3 linked regions of the Sus scrofa genome follow. The protein of the gene in region 3 interacts with the protein of the main gene of each other region in a biochemical or structural test. Links are inferred from orthologs where the notes say so. Each region holds a gene or a part of one and is shown on either strand. Other genes may lie near its edges. The genes, in order: ELF2, DTX2 and RUNX1.

What was found.
Region 1: the proteins of RUNX1 (region 3) and ELF2 form a complex in vitro, tested with the Homo sapiens proteins (2 studies listed by BioGRID and IntAct). The link is inferred for Sus scrofa from reciprocal best matches to the Homo sapiens genes RUNX1 and ELF2.
Region 2: the proteins of RUNX1 (region 3) and DTX2 form a complex in vitro, tested with the Homo sapiens proteins (2 studies listed by BioGRID, with this or other methods). The link is inferred for Sus scrofa from reciprocal best matches to the Homo sapiens genes RUNX1 and DTX2.

The regions. Positions count from the first base shown.
Region 1 is NC_010450.4:87,872,104-87,875,751, reverse strand, and holds part of ELF2 (ETS-related transcription factor Elf-2), read right to left. Parts: intron 1,275-3,648; coding exon 1,082-1,274; intron 1-1,081. UniProt on the Homo sapiens protein: Isoform 1 transcriptionally activates the LYN and BLK promoters and acts synergistically with RUNX1 to transactivate the BLK promoter. Isoform 2 may function in repression of RUNX1-mediated transactivation.
Region 2 is NC_010445.4:9,922,974-9,927,389, forward strand, and holds the start of DTX2 (probable E3 ubiquitin-protein ligase DTX2), read right to left. Parts: upstream 2,894-4,416; 5' UTR 2,888-2,893; coding exon 2,728-2,887; exon of another isoform or gene 1,398-2,727; intron 904-1,397; exon of another isoform or gene 697-903; intron 1-696. UniProt on the Homo sapiens protein: Regulator of Notch signaling, a signaling pathway involved in cell-cell communications that regulates a broad spectrum of cell-fate determinations.
Region 3 is NC_010455.5:198,415,127-198,418,774, forward strand, and holds part of RUNX1 (runt-related transcription factor 1), read right to left. Parts: intron 960-3,648; coding exon 768-959; intron 1-767.

The sequences.
Region 1 (3,648 bases), on a different chromosome or scaffold from region 3:
GGCAACTATTTACACAGTACTTACACTGTATTAGGTATTATATGCAATCTAGAGATAAAGTATATAGGAGGAAATTCCCTGGTAGTCTAGTGGTTAGGACCCACTATTTTCACCACTATGGCCTGGGTTCTAACCCTGGTCTGGGAACTGAGATCCCACATCAAGCTGCTGCATGCCAAAGCCAAAAAAAAAAGTGTATGGGGGTTACAGATAAACTACCCACTTCATATTTTGCTATCCATAGGGGTTCTTGGAACCATCTCCTTCAGATACTGAGAGATGACTACATTTTACAGACATTGGCAACAAGTCCATTCTGATTTACATATGTTATAAAAACAGTCTCCTATTATGTGGTAAAAGTACCTAAGCCATGCCTATAGAGAAGAATCTGGGATATGTGAATACTATCTCTCATAAACTATGTTTACTTACAAACACCCTTAATTAGAAGAAGCCATGTATATCACAAAGTTACATGGGTGCCTCAAACTGACAGGGCAAGAGAAATTTTCTTATAAAGATAAATCCATCATAACAAATTTGCAGGAACTAAATAAAGAGCAAATTCACAATTTAGTAACTATTTTATGTGGGTCTAATTTTCCTAAAAGTGCTCATTTTCCACAAAAAATGGAAAATTTATTTCTTCCTTCTTTTTAGGGCCCACAGCATATGGAGGTTCCCAGGCTAGGGGTCGAATTGGAGCTGCAGCTGCTGGCCTAAACCACAGCCAGATCAACACCAGATCTGAGCCTCGTCTGTGACCTACACCACAGCTCACAGCCACATTGGATTCTTAACTCACTGAATGAGGCCAGGAATGGAACCCACATCCTCACGGATACTAGTCAGGTTCTGAACCCTCTGGGCTACCACAGGAATTCCTGGTGTTGAAATTTTAGACATCCAGACCAAACCCCTTTCCCCATCTGCCTCCAAATCCAAGAATCTCCTCTAGAAAATCCCCTCTAATTAAAAGTTATAATAAATGATTTTAAGAGCTTCTCTGGAAAGAGTTAATAGACAATATTAAGGGATAGTAAGTTTTGTTTGAAAACTCTTTCTTTTGTGTTCTTACCTCAAAGCTCGTCCCATAGTTTCATAGTTCATATCTGGCTTGTTCTTATGTTTTCCCCAAAGCTTAGAGACAGCCTTTGAATCCACAAGCTTGAATATGCCTTTTTCTCTCTGAGTCCACTTAATATACCGGGGACAAGTATTTTTATCTTGAAGTAGATCTAAAAGAAACTCCCACAAATAGGTTGTGTTTCCTTTGAAAACAATGATAGACATTGTTTAAAAACTCATCAACATAATTAAAAGTAAATATTTACTTATGCTGGATAAAAAAATCAATTTACTACTGGTAAAGCACAAATATACTAGGAGTAGCATTAAATACTTGACTGTATCAAGCAATCATTTGTACAGTGTCAAACTGTGTTGTCTAGTAAATAAGAATACAAGAAAAAAGTATGAAACAATATAAGCTATATCACAAGGCCATGCATAATTATATTCCAAGTGAATGACAGAAAGTAATGTTTAGGATTTTAGGAGTGAAGATAAAGTTGTTTGGCAAGACATCATTAAGTCTTAGAAGATGTCTAAGATTTGCACTAAAGAAAAGGAAGGAATCTGGGTAGGTAAAATAGGGAACTTAGTCCCAAAAGAAAAAGCATCACTTTTTATTTTTGGAAGGTTGGGGAAGAGGAGTGGGCAGTGTTCATGAGAAGAGTAGGCTTTTCAGGCTGCTGTTTTTCTTTCCATTTTGGCCACGCCCATGGCATGCAGAAGCTATGGAGCCAGGGATCAAACCCGAGCTGCAGCATTTAAGAACCTCTAGGTGCAGAAGTTCTTAAACTGAAGGAAGAACAGAGTCCTGAGAAGATGATTAAGATATATATGCCACCACCAAGCCACCAGGTCACCTCAGGGTCCTGGTCACTAACCCTTTACTATCCTCAGACCTAGATCTAAATTACAGGCTACATGAGAAGAACTTTGAGTGTGGAGGGGACTTCCGAATCAGGCCCCTGCTACTCAATCTAAATGCTGATGCTCTTCTTCTACCATTTCATTTTCATCCTAAATTTCCCTGAAAATTCAATAAATCTATTAACCCATAGTTTAGCCCAGTGTATCTCTCTTGACCTGAAAAGATTAACCTTCAACTTTACAGTGTTACATTCCTGTCTCTGAAACCCTATTATATCAGCATTTGTGACTAAAAACTCTTACTATTAAACCACATGTGGAGTTCCCCAGTGGCCTAGCAGTTAGGGACTTTGGTGTTACTGGTATGGCACAGGTTCCATTCCTGGCCCAGTAACTTCCACATGCCAAAGGTGTGGCCAAAAAAATTAGAACAAAAAAAACCCCCCACCACCACCAAACACTCACATATCTTTCAACTCCATCACTCTCAACTAAATCAGAATGTGTAGCTGGGGCATTTTTATTAATTCTGCACGAAGTTTTTGCACAATATGCACAAGGAACACAGTTGAGATTGAATGTTTTTGTATCTGTTGAATTAATTAGATGCATCAACATCCTCAGGTTATCTTTAAGTGCTTCACCCTAGTTCCCATCCCCAGGTTAAAATGAACAATTCTATTTCGGGTTTTAAGGAAAAAAGAATTTAGAAAGAGAAGTCTTCTTTATCAGATAAGGTAGTTCACTAAATCTATGCTGACATTATCATAGTAATTCTACAGAAGAGGAAACACTGGCTGGATTTGTAATGCAGATGTGTCAGAAAAACTTTAATCTTCATATTACAACATGTTGCATCAAGTTTAATAACACTAAACAGAAATTTTAATGAAAGGTGATTCATTTTCATTGGTTTAGGTTATCACGAAATTTTTTTCCAGTGTTAAACATAAGGTCTTTGAATATAGGAGACACTGATGATGGAAATAATTTTTAAAACAGGAATAGGTAGTTCCTATTGTGGATCAATGGGTTATGAATCTGACTAGTATCCATGAGGACGAAGGTCCAATACCTGGCCTTGCTCAGTGGTTTAAGGATCAGGTGTTGCCATGAGCTGCAGTGTAGGGTCAGAGACACTGCTCGGATCTGTGTTGCTGTGGCTGTGGTGTAGGCCAGAGGCTACAGCTCTGATTAGATTTCTAGCCTGGGAACTTCCATATACCACAGATGTGGCCCTAAAAAGCAAGATATAAATAGCAAAAAATAAAAAAAAATAAGAACAGGAATAACTGTCTATTACAGTTTAACTTTCTAATATTTACTACTATTATGTAAGCCTTAAAGTTTTCAATGTAAATTGAAAGATAAAACCCAAGATAGTATAAATGTAAAACAACCAAAGATGGACAAGAAAACAAAAGTATCCTAAGTCTGTCCCAAATTGAATAAATAGTTCCTGAATATGAGTTTACTATAACTCGATTTTTTCTAACTAAATTTCTTGGTAGGCTTCTAGACTTAATTTTTAACTAGAGACTTCATTTTTGCTTTAATTATTTAAAATGAGATATACCAGACTACCTGCTAAAGATGGAATAAACTTGAATATATTAATCTAAAATGTATCCAACTACTAAAAACTTCATGGAAGCGAGAAATTTTAGTTATCAGATTATTAGAACACATCTAAAACCCTTGTGAAAA
Region 2 (4,416 bases), on a different chromosome or scaffold from region 3:
ACTCTAAAAGCCGGTCACAGTCTGGTCCCTCCCTGTCAATGGTATTGGCCAGCGCATTCCTCCTCATCACCCCCTCCCATCCCTCCCAAAGAGCTTCAAGGATGACCTGTTACCCCATATACCTCCAGTCTCCCCAACTCTGTGCCTCAACTCTACCCAGAATCCCAACTCACTTGGCCACCCATCCTTAGCTGACCCACATTTTCAAGACCCTTCTAAACACCCCCAGGATGCCATGATGCGCCCCCTTGAAAGAAAACCCCCTCTTATCAACTTCCAAGCATTCTGTCTTCTGCAGCTGTGTCCATTCCATCTCTGATGAGACCAGGGGCAGCCAGAGGGCAACGGACCTGTCTACACCCCTCTGCCAGAAGGTGGAATGGTGTAAGGAAATGGTCACAAAGACAGTGATCCAATCTAATCCATTCCACACTTTCCAGCCAGGGTGCTCACTTAAAATGCCCTTCAGGGAGTTCCCTGGTGGCCTAGCGGCTAAGGATTCAGTGTTGTCACTGCTACAGCTTGGGTTCAATCCCAGGCCTGGGAACTTCTGTGTGCCGTGGGCATGGCCAAGATAAAATAAAATAGAATGTCGTTAGACTACTCTAATAGTCTGACTATTCTTCTGATAGTCTTTCTGTTACCCTGAGCTTTGGCATGGCCCACAAAAGCCCCCACACTCAGCGATCTGCCTACCTTTCCAGACTTCTCTGCTCCACACCCACTCGCTGTTGCTCCAGTCACACTGAGCTACTTATAGTGGCCCAGACATGCCAGGTGTCTTTATGATTTTGCACATGCTTACACCTCTGCCGGGCTTCACCCCCAACTTCCTCGGTGCTACTTCTTCTTCACAACTCGTCTGGAAGTATCATTTTCTGGAAGCCTTCTGGTGCTCCCCTCCTGGGCAAGTGACAGTGGGGGGGGGGTGCTCATTCACTCCTCAACATGTATCACACTGACAACACCCTGTCACTGCTTATGGTTTGTTTATCTTTTCCATCAGATAATGAGCTCCCGGAAGACACAGCTTTTGTTCATCACTGTACCCCCAGCACTGAGCACAGGGCCTGACACAAAGGAGGCACCCGCTAAAGGTGCATGCAACACAAGAAATACAAAAAGACATACAAAGTTCAAATGCAAAAATCGTGACTTGTGTCCTTCATCCCATAAAGCATGCCTGAAAGCAGAAACCATCTTCTAAGACGGGTTAAACAGGAGACGCCACTGGCAAGAAGCCACCTGAATTTATTTGAGACAGGTAGCAATCGACAATCAACTCCCAGGGCTCACTTTCATCCTGGGGACCTCAAATGCCACCCTCCCCAGTCCCCACTTTCTCTAATGAAAATCAGATTGGGAAGTCAGCAATGTGAAGTCCTTGGGGCGCTCACCTTTTCTCTCTGGAGAGCTGGCACGACCTGTGCCTTCTTGATGGAGATACCAGATCTTTAGGAGGAATAACTTGTCTGAGTTCCCATCTTGATTTAAAACACAAACAACAAAAACCGGGCAAATCTGAAAGGCTTGCTGACTCAGCGACAGAAATTCCAAGGCACTTTTGCCAACAAGGAAAATGATCAGGTTTTAAACTGAGCAGTTAGGGAAAACGAATGCACAGATGTTGGGTCTGTGTGCTGTGGCTGGGGACTGGAAATTATCCGATTTATTTTCCAACAGCCTGGGCAGAGCAGAAGGTACAGTAGTCTCCCTCTGCCCACTCGACAATCAAGGGGATGATTTAAAAAAAAAAAAAAATTCCTAAGCCCTTCCACAGAAAGGCCTGAAAGGACTTTGTAAGCCCGTCTGCAATGCAGGCAGCCAAGAAATCAACACACCAGAGAAGGTAAAAGTTTAGCCAAAGTCACACAGCAAACGAACAAGAAGCCTAATTATAGTTACCCTGAAGCCTAATTATAGTTACCCTGATAGTTTAAGTAAAGCCTGATCCTGGCTACCAGAAAGTCCGCCTTCTAGAGCTGGAGCGGGGCTAGCTTGGCAGCAGAAATACTCTGAATTTCTTAAGGTCAAGCGTCGGTGCACACACTATTTCCACTGCTACTGGCACTTAGAGAAGAGGAACCAGCGCGCAGGACTGTAGCTGTCTGAGAAAGGGTAGTTCCAGCAAAAAGTCTTCTAAATTCTCTTCTCAGCATACATTACGCCCTCCCCCCGAAAAGCGACCCAGGGTCCCAGGAGATAGGCACTTCCTGGAAGACGGACCCTACTTGCGACAGGAAAGCAGAGTTAGGAGGCAAACTCCTCTCAAGTATAGTCTCCGACTCCCGTGAGTCGTCCACCAGGAGGCAGACGCCGGCGGAACCCACACCCTAACCACACACCGGGTGGCAATATCACCACCGCGTCCTCCAGGTCCTGTGGGAAGGGTTACACTCCTCCGGACGGACCCAAACTCCCAGAGTCTGCGCCCCTCCCCCTGCCAGCCCTGCGGCTTGCACCTCGGCGTTCACTCTCCCACACGGTCCGGTCCTAAACTCCCAGCGGCTCGCAGTTCCCACAGCTCTCGCCTCAGGGGCCTCCACCCGAAGGCCAGCCCTCACAATCCCCCCCGGACCCGACCCCGACCCCAGGGCTCGTCTCCGGCCCGGCCCAGCCCTCCCTCACGCCCACGCCCGCCCCCTTCCGGTCCCAGTTCGGCTCCTGCCCCGCGTCACCGGGACCCTAGCCCTGTCGAGGAGCAGGTGGCCTGCCCGCCCCTCTCACCGAGGCTGAGGAGGGAGAGAGGGGAGGCGAAAGACACCGCCGCACTCAGGCTGCAGCTCCGGCTCGGCCTGGGCACGGCTCCGGCTGTAGCTCCCACTCTAAGGAGAAGGCAGCCTGAGTGAAACTCGGCGTCGCAGCTTCCTTGCGTTCCAGTGCGCATGCCCAGGAGGCTGGGCCTTCTGGGAAATGTAGTTCCAGCGGGGCCGCGGAGGCGGGGCTGAACACAATATGCACCTGTTGTGGGGGTAGCTCTCCCAAAAGAGCTTCCTATCTAGTTAGCGAAACAGCCACTTAAACCCACAACTACAATATAGTATGATAAATGTAATAAAGGAGTGAGAGCATAGAGAGGAGTACCTACTGGGGGCAGGGACGGATCCCAGAGGAGGTGACACCTGAATTGGATTTTGAAGCCCCTATAGGAGGGTTTGCCAGATGGACTACCCTTGCAAAGGATGAAAGATTTGAAAGTGACCTATGCATTCAGGAAGCAGTGAAAAGTTCTGTTTGGCGAAGGCAAAGGATGAGTAGACGCCTAATTTATCCCTCCCCCTCCTTTCCTCTTTGGTAACTCTAAGTTTGTTTTAAAGCATTGAATTTTAAAAGGATACCCTTTAAAAAAAAGGGGGGGGGGAGTTCCCATCGTGGCTCAGCAGTTAACGAACATGATTAGCATCCATGAACACATGGGTTTGATCCCTGGCCTCACTTAGTGGGTTAAGGATCCAGCTTTGCTCTGAGATGTGGTGTAGGTCACAGACTCAGCTCGCATCCCACGTTGCTGTGGCTGTGGCATAGGCTGGCAGCTGTGGTTCTGATTGGACCCCTAGCCTGAGAACATCCATATGCCTCAGATGTGGCCCTAAAAAGACAAAAATAAATAATGAAAGAATACCCTTGTGGGGAGTTTCCATTATGGCGCAGTGGGTTAAGGATCCGGTGTTGCCAGAGCTGTGACATAGGTTACAGCTGAGGCTTGGATTCAGTTTCTGGCCCAGGCACGTCCATATGCCTCAGGTGCAGTAAAAAAAATAAATAAATATGATACCCTTGTGGCGGGTAGAGGATATGGAATGGAGTGGGGAGACCGGTTTGGAGGCTGTTGTTGTCGTCCAGGTCAAAGGTGATGAGGTCTAAACCAGGCTGGTGATTAATCTTTCAGTATCACAGACCTTCTTTACAAAGCTGAAGAAAGCTATTCCCAGAAAAATTCTCAGCTGTGTTCACACGTGTGTATGCACACAGACATTATTCTTCTTTTTACAGCTGTACCTACGGCACTTGGATGTTCCAGGCTGGGAGTTCAATGAGAGCTGCAGCTGCAGCCTTTGCCACAGCCACAGCAACATCTGTGGATCCGAGCCACATCTGCCACCTATGCTGCAGCTGGCAGCCACGCCAGATCCTTAACCCACTGAGTGAGGCCAGCAACCTAATCCCCATCCTCGGAGAGACAATTTCAGGTCTGTAATCCACTGAGCCACTGTGGGAACTCCCACACAGATGTTTTGTATATGTTCCTGGAGGTTCGAAGTCCTTTGAATCTTGGACTCCAATTAAGTAGCCTTACATAGGGGTTCCCACTGTGGCTCAGTGGATTGTGAACCAGACGAGTATCCAGGAGGACACAGGTTCAATCCCTGGCCTTGCTCAGTGGGTCAAGGATCTGTCATGGCTGTGGCTGTGGCT
Region 3 (3,648 bases):
CATACCCAGCTGTGTCCTGCACGGACCCGAGAAAATGACTGCATTTCGGAAATTTGAAATGGTATCACAGAGCAAATAATCATTGACGTCAGCAGTTTCTACAGTGTAAATGAACCCTGCGTATTATCTAATTTGGCACAGTGGGTTTTATGCCATTATTGTATTTTACAGTGTTTTTGCAACTGCCAGCTAACCCCATCGTGGGTGGGGGTGGTGGATAGCCTGCATTCTTTATTGATTGCAAATTTATTTATTGCAATGAATACGCTCCATGTGATGGTATCCAGAAACTCCTATTTTCTTCATATTCTCAAAAAAAAAAAAAAAAAAACTGTATTAAATACAACCCCCACGAACATTCTGTAGACGGTAAGAACTTAAAAACTCCTGGCCTTCACCTTGCTTAATGTGTGTATACGTGTTTTCCAGCCAAGCAGGTGAGAAATTAGCATAGCCAAAGCTAACTCTTAAAAAATTAAAGATCTTATCGGCAGAGTGATACAGATCTGTCCGTATCCTCTCGGTATCCTATGCAGCAGTGCCTCTAAATCAGGGGATCTTCTTACAATGCAGATCTGACTCAGTAGGTCTGGGGCAGCCGAGACTCTGCTGCTAACCAGCTCCCAGGCTGCTGGTTGAGGGACCACCCTTCCTGAGTATGAAGGAGAAGCCAGGATTGGACTAGGAGGGTTCTGCCCCAGGGCTGGGGGTGGCGGGGGTGGGGTGGGGGGAGTGAGGCAGGAAGCGGGCTCCGTCCGGGTACTTACCCTGCATCTGACTCTGAGGCTGAGGGTTAAAGGCAGTGGAGTGGTTCAAGGAGGCCCGAGGGTTGGGTGTGGGGGCTGGGTGGTGTGGGCTGACCCTCATGGCCGTGCGCCGCAGCTGCTCCAGTTCACTGAGCCGCTCGGAAAAGGACAAGCTCCCGGGCTTGGGCTGATCATCTAGTTTCTGACGATGTCCTATTGCGGGGAGGAGGTGGGGAAGGGAGAGGGAGGCAGGGAAGGAGGGAGGGAAGAGATCAGAAAATGTATTGTGGATTTGCTAAAATTCGGGCTTTTCTCCTCTTTCCCCTCCCTCTCCCCTCACCCCCAACGTGGATCCGCTGGAGAGTTTTGCACAGGTAGCTGTTCCCGTTGGGAATTCGGGGCCATTTTTCCCCACAGCAGACTGGGGCCCGTTTTGTCGCACTGGCCACTGGGTGTTCCGCCGGTCTGGGCCTGGCACCCACCCCGACTCCCTGCATCCATCTCCACTGTGTGGAACGCAGTGGGCATACAGGGCTTGGTGGCGGTGGTGATGGTGGGAGGGAGAGAAGGGGCATTAATTGGCTTATGGCATCTCTGTGGGCTGAGCTGAGGCGGGCAGGAAAGGAGCCCTCTTGGTGGCATGGGAACAGCTGCCCCAACTCCACACCCAACCACCGGCAGGTTTCAGAGGCAGCAAAGTGGGCCCTGGAGCTTAGAGGCGTGCCCCTTACAACAGGAAATGAGGTGTAGCTGCAAACCCACAGCCCGGGGAGGTCAGATTTCCTGTTAAGTGCCCAGGATGGGCAGCCCCTTGCCACCCACCCCCTCCTCTGCTTGCAAGCTTTGCGCCAGCATCCTTTCTTTTCTGAAGCCCACTTCTCCAAGTGCACCCCAAGTGTGGTGTAGCCCTGGACTCATTCAGTCCAAGTTTCCCAGCAGGCAGAGCTCACTGGAGCCCCAAGGGAGCCACCAGCACACTGGACAAGCCTGGGGCCTCAGGAATCCAAGGTGCGGGTGGGCCCCTTGGCATCTGTATCGACAGTAAATTTCCTTGCTCTGGTCAAAATCACCATCACCAGGATGCAGAGAGCAGAAGTCATTCCTTGGAGAAGGGTTGGGGCTCCCGCTTCCTCCCTTAATCCTTCACCAAAATGTCTTTAAACCAGAGACTCAGGCCTGCCCAGTGGAGCTGAGGCTCCTTGTACTAATGGAGCCATAATGGGGCTCAGCCAATTCAATCCTCTTTCAAAGAGGCTGCCCTTCTGCTCCTGCCTCACTCCCATGGTTCAAAGAAAGAGTCATTGACCGGTTTCACAAAACCACCCGATTGTCAAGTGGCCTCCAAACAAGATTGGAGGAGCAGCCTCCTGGCCCCAGACCTCAGTGAGAAAGAGGATTCCTTGACTCCACGCCCCCCAGCCGGGGGTGGGGTGGGGGTGGGAGAGGGACTTTTGAGCCCAGCTCCCAATGGCTACAATTATAAAATTAAATTTTATAACTTGTATTATGGTTCCAAATCTCCGTGGCTTGCCATTTCTTCCTGCTGCCAGCCCCCTTGGCACAGCTGACACTGTCTCAAATTCCAGACCAGAAAAAGGACCCACTATATTGCAGTGATTTTTATCACGAACAAGACCTGTTTGGCTCCGAAAGGAGGAAAAATACTTAAGCATAATATTTGTGTGGTTCAAATGCAACGCTCCCTCTTTTCATGTGTCACCAAGGCAAAACTGGACTCTGATTCAGCCCCACAGCCCGCAACACTCGGTCTGAACACAAGCAGCTGAGTCACGAGGGCCCAGCACACATGCGAGAGGCCTCTTACCGGCGGAGTATTTTAAGCACCGGTCTTGTGGGCGAAAGGCCATGGGGCCAGGTCCCGGAACAACCCCTGTCATCCCTTTCCTTCAGAAGTACGAAAACATCTTTTTCTAGAACGTTCTATTTCAATCATCGAGTCACTCGTTGTCTCCGGATGGAGCTTTCTTTGACTCCTCCCTTTCAACTTCCTGAAGTTTTCTTGCAGAACAGCAAACGATTTCAACTCAAAAGCCACCCAAAGCATAATAATCTTTTAAATGGCTACCACGACCTAATGCCTGGTATGGGGAGTCAAGGAGAGAAGGCGGCAGGAAAAATGATTCTGGAAAGTTCTACCACTTCAGAAAGAATGCCAGTTGGCAAAGTTATGGTGCAGAGGCTGCTGGCAGGTCTTGTACCCATTTCTAAATTTCACATTCCTTGGGCACCCAGTGGCATTTTTGAAGAACACCATGTCAAGGACAGTGGGTGATCATCGTGGGGAATGATATGTACCAGATCATTCTGAACACATGTCATTCGGTGTTTTGGAGTCTCCAGCCAACCTTTGAAGAGAGGCCTTCAGTTGTGTCTGCCTCAGCCACCAAGCTTGGGGACCATGTGCCACCAAGAAACCAAGAGGAATAAGTGATTTTACAGGTAAGCCACTACTGTGGCCAGGCACAACGAAGGGAAAAAAAAAAAAATGTTTTTTTTTAAACCCCTCTCGTTGCCCTGCACTTAAAAAAAAAAGTTTCAACATGTGAGCAATTTCTGCACCAGCTGACACCTGCCAAAATCGTAGTCATTTATAGAGATTAACTGATGACTGTCTGCTTGAGCAGGAATGTTTGGGCATAGCTCTCAGAGAAAACAATTCTTCACTCTAAGCTTTTTCCTAAGCCCTCAGAGTCGCGGGGCTGAGTTGAATGCCAGAGGAGGGGGTGAGAGTTCATTCCGCACCCTCCCCACGTGTGATCCCACCAGCAAGTAAGGCCATTATTACCCCTGCAGGGAACCCAGAGCCCCGGCATCACAGCTAGTGCCAAAGAGTTCTAACACCAGGACACCGGGGAAATAAAAAGCATTATCGTATTGAAGG